3 linked regions of the Callithrix jacchus genome follow. The protein of the gene in region 1 purifies or fractionates together with the protein of each later gene. This does not show direct contact. Links are inferred from orthologs where the notes say so. Each region holds a gene or a part of one and is shown in the gene's direction. Other genes may lie near its edges.

The links.
Region 2: the proteins of SNTB2 (region 1) and UTRN purify together in Homo sapiens (affinity purification with mass spectrometry; 4 studies listed by BioGRID and IntAct, with this or other methods). This does not show direct contact. The link is inferred for Callithrix jacchus from reciprocal best matches to the Homo sapiens genes SNTB2 and UTRN.
Region 3: the proteins of SNTB2 (region 1) and CASK purify together in Homo sapiens (affinity purification with mass spectrometry; 3 studies listed by BioGRID and IntAct, with this or other methods). This does not show direct contact. The link is inferred for Callithrix jacchus from reciprocal best matches to the Homo sapiens genes SNTB2 and CASK.

The regions. Positions count from the first base shown.
Region 1 is NC_133521.1:26,737,830-26,742,198, forward strand, and holds the start of SNTB2 (beta-2-syntrophin), read left to right. Parts: upstream 1-1,518; 5' UTR 1,519-1,535; coding exon 1,536-2,115; intron 2,116-4,369. UniProt on the Homo sapiens protein: Adapter protein that binds to and probably organizes the subcellular localization of a variety of membrane proteins. May link various receptors to the actin cytoskeleton and the dystrophin glycoprotein complex.
Region 2 is NC_133505.1:151,253,509-151,257,153, forward strand, and holds part of UTRN (utrophin), read left to right. Parts: intron 1-912; coding exon 913-1,062; intron 1,063-2,189; coding exon 2,190-2,351; intron 2,352-3,140; coding exon 3,141-3,269; intron 3,270-3,645.
Region 3 is NC_133524.1:42,784,902-42,789,110, reverse strand, and holds the start of CASK (peripheral plasma membrane protein CASK), read left to right. Parts: upstream 1-1,373; 5' UTR 1,374-1,508; coding exon 1,509-1,567; intron 1,568-4,209. UniProt on the Homo sapiens protein: Multidomain scaffolding Mg(2+)-independent protein kinase that catalyzes the phosphotransfer from ATP to proteins such as NRXN1, and plays a role in synaptic transmembrane protein anchoring and ion channel trafficking.

The DNA.
Region 1 (4,369 bases):
TGCCCAGGTAACTAGTAAAACATAACCTCTGGGTATATCTGTGTGGGTGTTTCAGGAAGAGATTAGCCTTTCCATGGTAGACTCTAAAGATCACCCTCACCAATATGGGGAGGCAGCATCCAATCAGTTGAAGACTTGAATAGAACAAAAGGGCAGAGGAAGGGGGAATTCACACTCTGCCTGAGCTGGGACATAGATCTTCTCCTGGTCTCAGACTTTGGTGCACCTGGCTCTTGGGCCTTGGCATGGGGATGCGGACTTACATGATCCTCCCCACTCCCACCCTCACCCTCTTCTCAAACTTCCTGTTTTGTTTTTTTTTTTTCCTTTCATCCTAACATATTCTATCATGCACTCAAACTTTCTGTTTTTAGACAGGGTCTCACTTTTTCACCCAGGCTGGAGTACACTGGCGTGATCTTGGCTCACTGCAACCTCCATCTCCTGGATTCAAGCAATTCTCCTGCCTCAGCCTCCCTAGGAGCTGAAATTACAAGGGCCTGCCACCACACCCAGCTAATGTTTTTATTTTTAGTAGAGATGGAGTTTTCACCACGTTGGCCATGCTACTCTCAAACTCCTGACCTCAAGTGATCCACCTGCCTCAGCCTCCCAAAGTGCTGGGATTACAGGCATGAGCCTCCTCTATCAGGCCCCTTCTCAGACTTTCTTCCCTTTCTTTTTTTTTTTTTTTCAGTTTCATTCTTGTTGCCCAGGCTGGAGTGCAGTGGTGCCATCTTGGCTCATCGCAACCTCCACCTCCTGGGTTCAAGCAATTTTTCCGCCTCAGCCTCCTGAGTAGCTGGGATTACAGGCACTCGCCACCATGCCCAGCTAATTTTTTGTATTTTTAGTAGAGACGGGGTTTCACCATGTTGACCAGGATGGTCTCGATCTCTCGACCTCGTGATCCACCCGCCTCGGCCTCCCAAAGTGCTGGGATTACAGGCTTGAGCCACCGCGCCCAGCCCAAATGTTCCTTTTATACTGTTCTGGGGACATTTTCTGTATGTCATTTAACCACGTATTATCACACCTAGTTGGTTGGTTCTGTATTTTCCTTCCCCACTAGACCGCAGACTCTCAGCTGTTGCTGGTACTACTGCGCTTATCTACAGGGCCTCAGAAGGAGCCGGAGTCCCTGGTTGAGCGCTCAGTACACAGGGTGCGAACCAATCAGTGCAAGAATGAACGTGCCACCGGGTCTTGCATGCTTGCAAAGTGCTTCTCCAAGCTGATTTTGCTTTTCGTGCCCAGGCAGCTTCCGTGAATTGCACGGTAGAGGTCAATAGTTTCTGCGGGTCCGTGGGGAGCCAATGGAAGGAGGATGAGAAATGCAGTCCCACCGCACTCGGGCTGCCCGCGTCCGGCGACAAGCGAGGGATCCGACAGCTTCTGCACCTCCCGGAAGCGGCTGCGCCGGCCCCGCCCCTCGGGAGGTGGGCGTGGCATCATGAATAATGAATCGCGCCGGGGAAGGGCCGGGCCCGCCCCTCCGGGCGGGAAGGGGGAAGCGCTGAGGCTGCCTGACTGGAATGAGGGTAGCTGTGGCGACTGCGGCGGCTGGAGAGGGGCCGGCCATGGCGGTGTGGACGCGGGCCACCAAAGCTGGGCTGGTGGAGCTACTCCTGAGGGAGCGCTGGGTCCGAGTGGTGGCGGAACTGAGCGGGGAGAGCCTGAGCCTGACTGGCGACGGCGCCGCGGCCGAGCTGGAGCCCGCTCTGGGACCCGCGGCGGCCGCCTTCAACGGCCTTCCGAACGGCGGCGGCGCCGGCGACTCGCTGCCTGGGAGCCCGAGCCGCGGCCTGGGGCCCCCGAGCCCACCGGCGCCGCCTCGGGGCCCCGCGGGTGAGGCGGGCGCGTCGCCGCCCGTGCGCCGTGTGCGGGTGGTGAAGCAAGAGGCGGGCGGCCTGGGCATCAGCATCAAGGGCGGCCGCGAGAACCGGATGCCGATCCTCATCTCCAAGATCTTCCCGGGGCTGGCCGCCGACCAGAGCCGGGCGCTGCGGCTGGGCGACGCCATCCTGTCGGTGAACGGCACCGACCTGCGCCAGGCCACCCACGACCAGGCCGTGCAGGCGCTGAAGCGCGCGGGCAAGGAGGTGCTGCTGGAGGGTGAGTGGGGCCGGCCGACGGGGCGGGAGGGTGGGCGGGCCGCGGCGGCTTGGGCTCGCGGGAGCTCACTTTGTTCCTTCCCTGCCGACGGGGCGAGCCGGTTCTCTCCCCGTCTCTTCCCAAACCCGGGTTTCTGGAACTTAGAGTGTGGAAAAACGGATGCTTCTTGCAGGAAAAGTTGGGCAGCCGCCGAAGTGTGGCTTGCAGCCCCTAAGGAAGACTCGGCTGAGATTGGGCAAAAAGCAGCTTCCCATGAAGCTCCCCCTCGGCCGGATAAGCTGACACTAAGAACTAGAGGGAGAGCGAACGGCTCGAGTGGGTCTGTCTCCGTTTGCCCGCTGAGAAGTGCCGGGTTGGCGCTTAACTCACTCAACTCTGGCTCTTCGGGGCGGGCAGGTCTATTAAAAAAAGTCCAACACCGATGCCAGCGGTATACTTGGGCAAACCACCAAAGCGCTGGTTAATTTATGGGAATTTAACCCATCATTGGCTCTCAACAATAACCAAAGGAGATCATAGCACTTCATTGAAGCCAGAAAGCTGAAACAGCAAGTCTGTGTGGTTAATGAACCTTAACAGTGGAGGATCACGTGTTTGAACATTTACTGCCAACTAGAGTTTTGCCCCTTTTGCAAGAGTCTGCTGCCAGCTTCCTTCCACTCACAGGCGCGCTGCTTCAAGACTATTACGGCTTTTGTAAGAAACTTGAAATGGTAAATCACAAGATAACTTTCAATAACCAGGATTATTCTTTACATTAAGTTATATATGTGATTTGTAAGTTGGATCTTTTATGATGAATTTGAAGTAAGGCAAAAATAAAATTCCTCTCCTTTAAGGACTCATGCATATTGGAGGTGATAGAGTAAACTGTAAACGAAAAGTCAGTTGCTTTCTTTAGCAATTTTTGAGAGGTCAGCTTTCTTTCACTGGTGATTATTGCTAGCTGTGTTGAAAAGAATATGAAAGAAGATGCTGTCCCTTCTTGGTCTCTTATTGGAGAAATGATAGAAAAATGCAAAACAACTTATAGGAAGGAAAGGGATGAAGTTGGTGATTATGTCGTGCAAACTGTATTTAAGTCCCAAGGGAATGCAAAGTTAGAAAGTAGTTAGTAGAGATGGAATTAGGCAGGCAGGACTTTTTCCCTGAGCCAGTTCTCCAAGGAAGTGATGGACATAGGCAGGCAGGGATGAGTCAGGAGAGTATTCCTGGCAGAGGAAGACAGAAGGGAAGGACCAATCATCAAACCGAGAGGCCAGAAGTCCAACTTGGCACAATAATTTTCAGTTTCTTATAAATCAGCTTGTGAATATTTGGAAAAATACTGGTTTATCAGAAATGATTTCATGTACACCAGTTGTGAAATTCGTGTCCCACCTTTATAATATCCTATTTGTAAACCTTGTTTATTTTGGATGTCTAGGTGGGGCTAGACACGGCTCGGAAATTTAGTGTTAATAGAAGGAGTAAAATTATAGATTGTGGTTTGGGTGTGTCTAAAAAAATTGTTATTTTGGCCGTGCGCGGTGGCTCAAGCCTGTAATCCCAGCACTTTGCGAGGTCGAGGCGGGTGGATCACGAGGTCAAGAGATCGAGGCCATCCTGGTCAACATGGTGAAACCCCGTCTCTACTAAAAATACAAAAAATTAGCTGGGCATGGTGGCACATGCCTGTAATCCCAGCTACTCAGGAGGCTGAGGCAGGAGAATTGCTTGAACCCAGGAGGTGGAGGTTGTGGTGAGCTGAGATCGCACCATTGCACTCCAGCCTGGGTAAGGAGCAAAACTCCGTCTCAAAAAAAAAAAAAAAAATTGTTATTTTAAATGTGTGCCTTGAAATTGGTCTAGCTAAGCATTTGGTTATAAATTCTTATATCCAGAATATTGAATTTAGTACTATTTATGTAGTCCTCAGTTGAACCCTTTACACCATATTTTTTAAAAACAACACTTTTTGGCCAGGCGAGGTGGCTTATGCCTATAATCCCAGCACTTTGGGAGGCCAAGGCGGGTGGATCACCTGAGGTTAGGAGAACCCAGCAAAACCTCCTCTCTACTAAAAATTCAAAAATTAGCTGTGGGTGGTGGTGCACGCCTGTAATTCCAGCTACTAGGGAGGCCGAGACAGGAGAATTGTTTGAACCCGGAAGGCGGAGGTTGCAGTGAGCTGAGATAGCACCACTGCACTCCAGCCTGGGTGACAGAGCAAGACTACATCTCAAAAACAAACAAAAAACCCACTTTTTGTGTA
Region 2 (3,645 bases), on another chromosome or scaffold:
TGAGATCACAGGCGTGTGCCACCACCCTAGCTAATTTTGTATTTTTAGTAGAGATGGGTTTTTTTTTTTTTAACCCGGTCGGCCAGGCTGGTCTAGAACTCCTGACGTCAGGTGATCCACCTGCCTTGGCTTCCCAAAGTGCTAGGATTGTAGGTGTGAGCCATTGTGCTTGGCCAGCCTTCACGGTCTTAAAGGCTTTAGAGCCATGTTGGAATCTCAGCTCTTCTTTTGACTTTGTGTATGTTGCCAACTTATTTAACATTTCTGAGCTTCAGTTTTCCCATCTGTAAACTGGGAATGTGATTTAGCTGATGTGGTTAATTAGATTTATGTATATAAAAAGTGTATATATAAAATAGTGCCTCTTATTTGGCATATATTGTAGGAAAATGAATACTTATTTTCAGTAATATAATTAATAAAAGTTGAGATAATTTTGCTTGTATAGCATTGTTCTCTGCCTTTAAACTGTGTCATATCATGAGCATTTCCCCATATAATTAATAGTTATTTTCATGTTTTGTTATTCATTCATTTATGTATTGTTCAGAGACATAGTTTCACCCTGTTGCCCAGGCTGGAGTGCAGTGGTATGATCAGAGCTCACTGCAGCCTTGAACTTCTGGGCTCAAATGATATTCCTGCCTTACCCTCCCATAATTAAAAATAATTGAAATTATTTTTGTGGAATTATATCATCATATATCACTTGTGCAAATCTCTCAATTTTATGCATTTTTTAATACCATGATGAATATTTTTGTGAATTAGTAATTTACTTAATTTTTGGTCCTATTCCTTAGGTAGATTTTTAGAAAATGGAATTAGTTGTTTAAGAATTAGACATTTTGGGGATCCTTGATACCTTTGGCCTTAGTAAATGCACTATTTTTTTCCCCATTTTTGGTCCAGTCTCTGGAATCTGTTCTGCGCCACCCGGCAGATAATCGCACCCAGATTCGAGAGCTTGGCCAGACTCTGATTGATGGAGGGATCCTGGATGATATAATCAGTGAGAAACTGGAGGCTTTCAATAGCCGATACGAAGAGCTGAGTCACCTGGTAAGAGTCGGGACATGCATGCGTGTTGATTAGGTACTGATGAAGTGGAGCTGGCCCTGAGCTCCATATCATAGAGCTTTAATGTTGGAAAAATCTTTAATGTTGGTTAAAGTTGGTAACCAATGCCAACAGGGGCATTGAGAGTACTGAAGTACTCAGGAGCGGAGAATAGATCTAACACTTTAAGAAAGGCAGAGCTTGATGATTAAAAAAATTATTTTTGATATTACTTCTACATATTCTTATTACACTTTGAGAAAGAACACTTCTTTTACAGGAAGATTGGGTATGAATATTAGGTGCTTCCAAACACATATTAAATAATAACTGTTGGTGTTTAGTCAATGAATAACATCAAGCTTAACCCCAAAGTACAGTACATAGTAGTTTGATATGTACGTACACCTGTAGAATTTGTTTTACACTTTAGAAAAATAGACTCTGATGTTTGCTGTATTTACAGACATTTTTCTTATTTATTTATTTATTTTTTGAGACGGAGTTTCGCTCTTGTTACCCGGGCTGGAGTGCAATGGCGCGATCTCAGCTCACCGCAACCTCTGCCTCCTGGGTTCAGGCAATTCTCCTGCCTCAGCCTCCTGAGTAGCTGGGATTACAGGCACGCGCCACCATGCCCAGCTAATTTTTGTATTTTGAGTAGAGACGGGGTTTCAATATGTTGACCAGGATAGTCTCAATCTCTTGACCTCATGATCCACCCGCCTCGGCCTCCCAAAGTGCTGGGATTACAGGCATGAGCCACCGCGCCCGGCCTTTTCTTATGTTTTATATTCTTATTGGTAGACATTGATGACTCCTAAAAATTCCTTAAAATTATAATAAATAACAAATTTTTGTCTTCTGTTTAATGCATCTTATGTGAAACTTTACATTTTTGTATTTCGTCATTATATATAGAAAGAAGTAATAATTAGTAATTCAGCTGAATGGTACATAAGATCCCAGTAGGACATTTTCACTGTTGTCATTAGTAATTATTATTTATTTATAGGAAGGGTAAAGTCTTGAACAAAAGCTTTTATAGTCTTTTCTTAGTGGCCAGAACATATATATTCAGCTATTTATATTTGCACTGAGCAACTAATGATTCAATTTCTCCTCTGCAGGCAGAGAGCAAGCAGATTTCTTTGGAAAAGCAACTCCAGGTCCTGCGGGAAACTGACCACATGCTTCAAGTCTTACAAGAGAGCTTGGGGGAGCTGGACAAACAGCTCACCACGTACCTAACTGACAGGATAGATGCTTTCCAAGTTCCACAGGAAGCTCAGGTATTGCTATGAATTTGAAGGCTTTCAAGATGTAAACAGAGCATATGCAATTGCCTCTCCAACTATAATAAAATCCCTCTTGCCATCCAAAACCGAGAGTCAGTGGGAAAGATTGACCTTACTTATGGGGCAGCATTTAGGTTTTGAAGTTCTCTCGCTTTCTATGTGAGACTCTCTCAAAAGTTCTATATATTTTATTTTGTTATTTATTTGAGATGGAGTCTCACTCCATCACCCAGGCGCAGTGGTGCGATCTCAGCTCATTGCAACCTCTGCTTCTGGGTTCAAGTGATTCTCCTGCCTTAGCCTCTAGAGTAACTGGGACTATAAGCATGTGCCACCAAGCCTGGCTAATTTTTTGTATTTTTAGTAGAGACAGGGTTTCACCATGTTGGCCAGGCTAGTCCCAAACTCCTGACCTCAGGTGATCTGCCTTGCTCTGCCTCCCAAAGTGCTGTGATTGCAGTTGTGAGCCATTGTGCCGTTGAAAAGTCCTGTATATTTTGAATAGTAGTTTTCTTCGCTACGAAGTTGGGACAATTCCTTCCTTATAAATAAGTTGTGAACATTAGAAATGACAAGTGTAAGGACCTTAGCATGTGCATCACACACAATAGTCATATTATGCAGTGCTGTATTATCATACAAAACTTATTAAAGCTTCTATGGAGGTCAACATTATGTAAAATACAACATTATGTACTACACAACAATATAGAACTTTTGTATTGCTTCTTTTTATACTTAAGAAAAAAAGGACATTGTTTCCCCTTTCCAATCTCTTTGTAGAAAATTCAAGCAGAGATCTCAGCCCGTGAGCTAACCCTAGAGGAGCTGAGAAGAAATATGCGTTCTCAGCCCCCGACCTCCCCAGAGAGCAGGTCTGCCAGAGGAGGAAGTCAGATGGACGTGCTACAGGTAAGGAGGGCGAGGAGCTTCCATTTACTTTTCAGCACGTTGGGAATTTTTTTAAAAGAGAAAGAATTGGTTACTCGGGCACCCTTGGTGCCCTTATGATGTAAATTGTGGAATGGGAGTGATGTCTTGAAGGTGCATTGCATCCTAGGGCAGCAGAAACAAATTGTTGCAAGGGGGGGAAATGTTAAATCTGATTTTTATAGTTGAGTTGAGAAATAAGAGAGTGAGCCGTATTTCGAGGTTACCTTTATATAGTCTTTTTCTTTAATGCAGAGCCTCTGTCAGCATCTTGTGGCTGATGCTGTGGGCAGGCTGAGCATGAATTGGATGCAACATCATTTAGTTCTTTCATGGTTGATGTGACATTGACTTTCAC
Region 3 (4,209 bases), on another chromosome or scaffold:
CTGTGCCTGCACTCCCTCTAGTTGCATTTTGTTCCTGACAAGTCTAACATTTATAGGCAATATAGAGAGCAGAGTAGGTGTTGGGAGTTTGGGGGCAATATACAAAGGAGATTAAAGTCGCAGTTTGTCCCTGCCTTCCTGGTTTCTCTCTAGGTTGTCTCTAGTGAGGGTAAGCGCTGGATTGATATTTGCTGAGTTTGGGCCAGAACGTGGGAGAAGCTGTCTCCATAGATGACCGTGTGCTGCTGTCGCACACCTTCCTAGGCAGTTTTTGTCTAGTCCTTTTATAGGATGACCTACCCTTACCCCCAGCCCTCGTCTTCATTAAGGAATGACAGGGTGGCACTAAAAGCATCCGCTGCCAAGCACGGCTTCAGTGACAACCTCTCTCTACCTCTTTTGGCCTTCTCATTCATTCGCACCCTTTCCCTGCCTCTTTTCTCGACAAAAAACTGGGAAAGGCTCCCTGCGATTACAAAAGAAGGGGTAACGGCCGGAGTTCCGTGCCTCTTGCCGGACAACGAGCGTGCAGCCGTGGACCTTTTGTCTCCATCCTCTTTCGCGGCTTGGTCGCGGCTAGGCACGGAGGCGACGACCCCAACCAAGCCCCGCCTCAGCAGCTGCAGCCGGCGCGCCCCACTCGCAAACCCTCCGCGCCCTCTAGAATCCCAGTGCCCGCCCTTTCGCCGTGACGCGACCGGCGCCGCGCGCATGCGCCGCTCAGCCCGCTCCCTTTTCCCTGGGACACCGCCTCCCGACGGACTGGTGTGGGCGGGGCCTGTGGTTCTGGAAGCGGCGCTGGCGACGGGGGAGGAGGGCGTGTCTGCGCGAGGCGGGTGTGCGGGGCTGGCGAGTCGGTCGGCTGCTGAGGCTGAGGGGCGGAGCAGAAGGCGGCAGCCGCGGCTCCCGCCCGCACAGAGCGCCGGTCCCGCGAAGCCCCCTCCCACTTCTGGGCGGGCGGCGGCGGCTGCGGGAGGAGGAGAAAGAGGAGGGAGCGTCTCTGCCACCGCCTCCTGGTCCCCAGCGCCGATCAGCCGCCGCCACCTCCCTCCGAGACGATCCTCCCTCCATGGTCCTGCCGCGGCACCCTCTGTAGTCCGAGCTGCTCCGCGACGCGACGGAGCCGGTCTCGGACAGAGGGAGCGGTCGTGGCCTCGCAGCCCGCTCGGGCTGACGAGCCGAGAGCGGGACGCCGCGCGGTCCCCGAGGATCCGCACGCCGGGCAGCGCGGCCCGAGCAGCGCGAGGAGCAGCGGGCGGGCGGGCGGCGCCGGGCCCGGGCCGCCCTTGCTCCCGCGCCCCGGCCCCGCCGCCCGCGCCGGGGCGGTAGTCCGCAGAGGAAGGCGCCGCAGTCTCTGGGCCTCGCGGCCCCACTCAAGCGTCCTCGGCGCCGAGGGCTCGCGGGTCCTGAGGGGAGGAGGCGAGCCCGGGGCTGGGCACTGAGCTCTTGGGCGCCCCCACCCCCGTTTTCGAAGCCCTCCACGCTGCGGCCGCTATCCCCTCCGGACCATGGCCGACGACGACGTGCTGTTCGAGGATGTGTACGAGCTGTGCGAGGTGATCGGCAAGTAAGTCTCCACGCGAGGGAGCGGGAGTGTGGAAAAATGCATTTCAGTGATACCCCGGTCTTCCCGCACCCGCTCGGGGCCTGCCCCCTGCCCGCCCTCCCCTCTTCCCCTCTCGTCCTCCTCATCCTGGAGTATTTATAGACGTGTACCTGGAGCTCCTGCTTGGCGGGGGCCTTGGGGTTCTCAGCGATCCATTGAGGCCAACGAGCCTAGGTTGGTCACCCCGTAAGGCGTGGAGCCGGCTGCCTGCATTTTATCTGACGGTTGCATAGGGACGTGGCACAGCCGATTTTATAGTTGCTTCAGTTAGGGTTATTGTTACCTTGCTTGTACCATAGACCATTTTTGAAAAGAGCAGCTTGCATTTCCTTTGCTTGTGTGGAGAGAGAGAGAGATAGTCCAAGGTTTTAGTTGTGGGGTGTGTGTCTATTGTGCAGGATATTAGACAGATGCCTTTGTGTACACCCCGTGCCCGGATAGGAAGGGGTCGTTTAAGACGGGGTGCGTTCAGTTTCAGCAAATCCCCCCCTGGTGTACACAGACGTGGAAAGAGTTGGGGGCATTCGAATTTTTAATGCCTCGTTATGCAATGACTGTTCAATCAGTGCTCGAGGCTCCCCTAGACTGTTGTTGGGATGGTGGTTAGCATGGTAGAACCGTCTGCTTTGAGTCACCAGGCTGGTCTAGAATATAGAATTGACAGTCCAAATGCTCATCCTTTCATCTGTGTTGTATAATTACGCTAGGGAAAAGCAGGGAATCAGATTAATCACAGTGCTGATTGAGAATTAAATCTGCAGTTCCTCATCTAATTGTCTATTCCTTAAATCTATTTTGAATAGTTTCCTTTTCATTCTTGTCAAACAGTATTCCAAGTGCACAATCCTGCTAATTTGCTTGTGAAGGAAATGCTGGCAATCTGAACTTGATTTCCTAACACAGCGTGTATTCCGTGGCTTAATAAGGATCGCTAGAGCTACCATTGAAATATTTTTTTTTTTGGAAGCGGTGCTTTATTGTCTATTTTAAGGTCCACAGTTGGGAAATGAAATTAAGACCTTAGAGCAGTTGGCCCTCTCTCTTTTAAGTTGTCTGCAGTACACAATTTTAATTTGAGTGCTAATTTGTTTCTTTTTCTTTCCATATTGAGGTATTACAGTGTTGCCTCTCATGGTGAAATCGTGGATAGAGCTTGCTACACACTTTACTCAGACACAATTGATATGAGGACATGTTACTCCTTGCCCTATTGTTACATGATCAGCCAGACTGTTAAAAGGAAAGTATCCAAATGTGTCCTGTTAAAGTGGTTGTGGAAGTGTTTTGGAATAGCACTGTCCAAAAGCTGTATTATGAGCCACATTTATAATTTAAAATTTTCTAGTAGCCACATTTAATAAAAAAGGTATAACTAATTTTAATAAAATATTTTATTTAACTCAGTAGATTGAAACATTTCAACATGTAATCAATATGAAAACATATTAACGAAATATTTTACATGTTTTATACTAAGTCTTTGAAATCCCAGTGTGTATTTTACACTAACAGCACATCTCAATTCTGACACTTAAGCTGAATTTTCATCAGAAATTCGTAATCTGTATTTAGGTTTCATAAAATCTGCATTTGCAAAAGTAGATTCACATACCCAAGTGGTTCCCAGTATATATAAAAGTTTTCCAATAACCGAATCAAGTACCTTTTTCTAAATTTAAATTTTAATAAATGAAAATTAAATAAAATTCAAAATCCGTTTTCCAGTCTGACCAGCCACGTTTCAGGTGCTCAGTACCCACATGTGAATAGGACAGTTTTGGAGAGAAAAATGTCTCAAAAATCTCCTTGGTTTCCTTATTCTTAAGAGCACCCAGTAAAGGTAAATTAGGTGTTTTCCAAAAGCCTCCAAATGACTGGATGTGTGGGTGAATAATATTTGTTGCATCTTAGTTATAGCTGATGTAAATAAACTAGCAATTCATAATTGGAAAATGTGAGATTAAAATGTTAATTATATTGTGAAGATGGAAAATAGCCATCACTGAATCAGTTTTGGTAACTAGTTCTGATTCCTTAAAGTTGGGAAGGATGATGATGTGATCTCTTTGGATATCAAAAAGAAATGGTCATCATCACATTAACAGTATTCCACTGATTTGTAGTTGATAGAATATTTTCAGTAAACACCCCTGGGAGAAGAAAATTCATCTTTTCTGGCTATTTCAGAGCTGCATAAAGAGGGGCAGCAAGCTAATTTTGAGGTGATAGGCACTCTGTGGCTATCTAACTACTATGAACTGTGAAATCTCATTCATATCCTACAAAATCTGACTTGCTCAGTGTCAATTATAAAATGCCATTACATGAAATAATGAATTCAAGCTAGTCTTATTGTTAAAGAATGTAATAATAGTGTTCCTCAACCTGAGTAAAGGTTGAAGGTTTCTCTGGTAAATTGTCTTAGTATATATTGATATGGAAATTGAAATTAGCTTGAGATTTTCTTGCAGGGACCTTGACAGCATACATTTTTAACTTAGAATTTGTTCACCTCTGAATTTGAACAGAAAAGCCTTGAAGATCTTCCCATGCATTGAAAACCTTTTTATTGATTTCCATCCAAGTTCTGTGGAATTTTTATT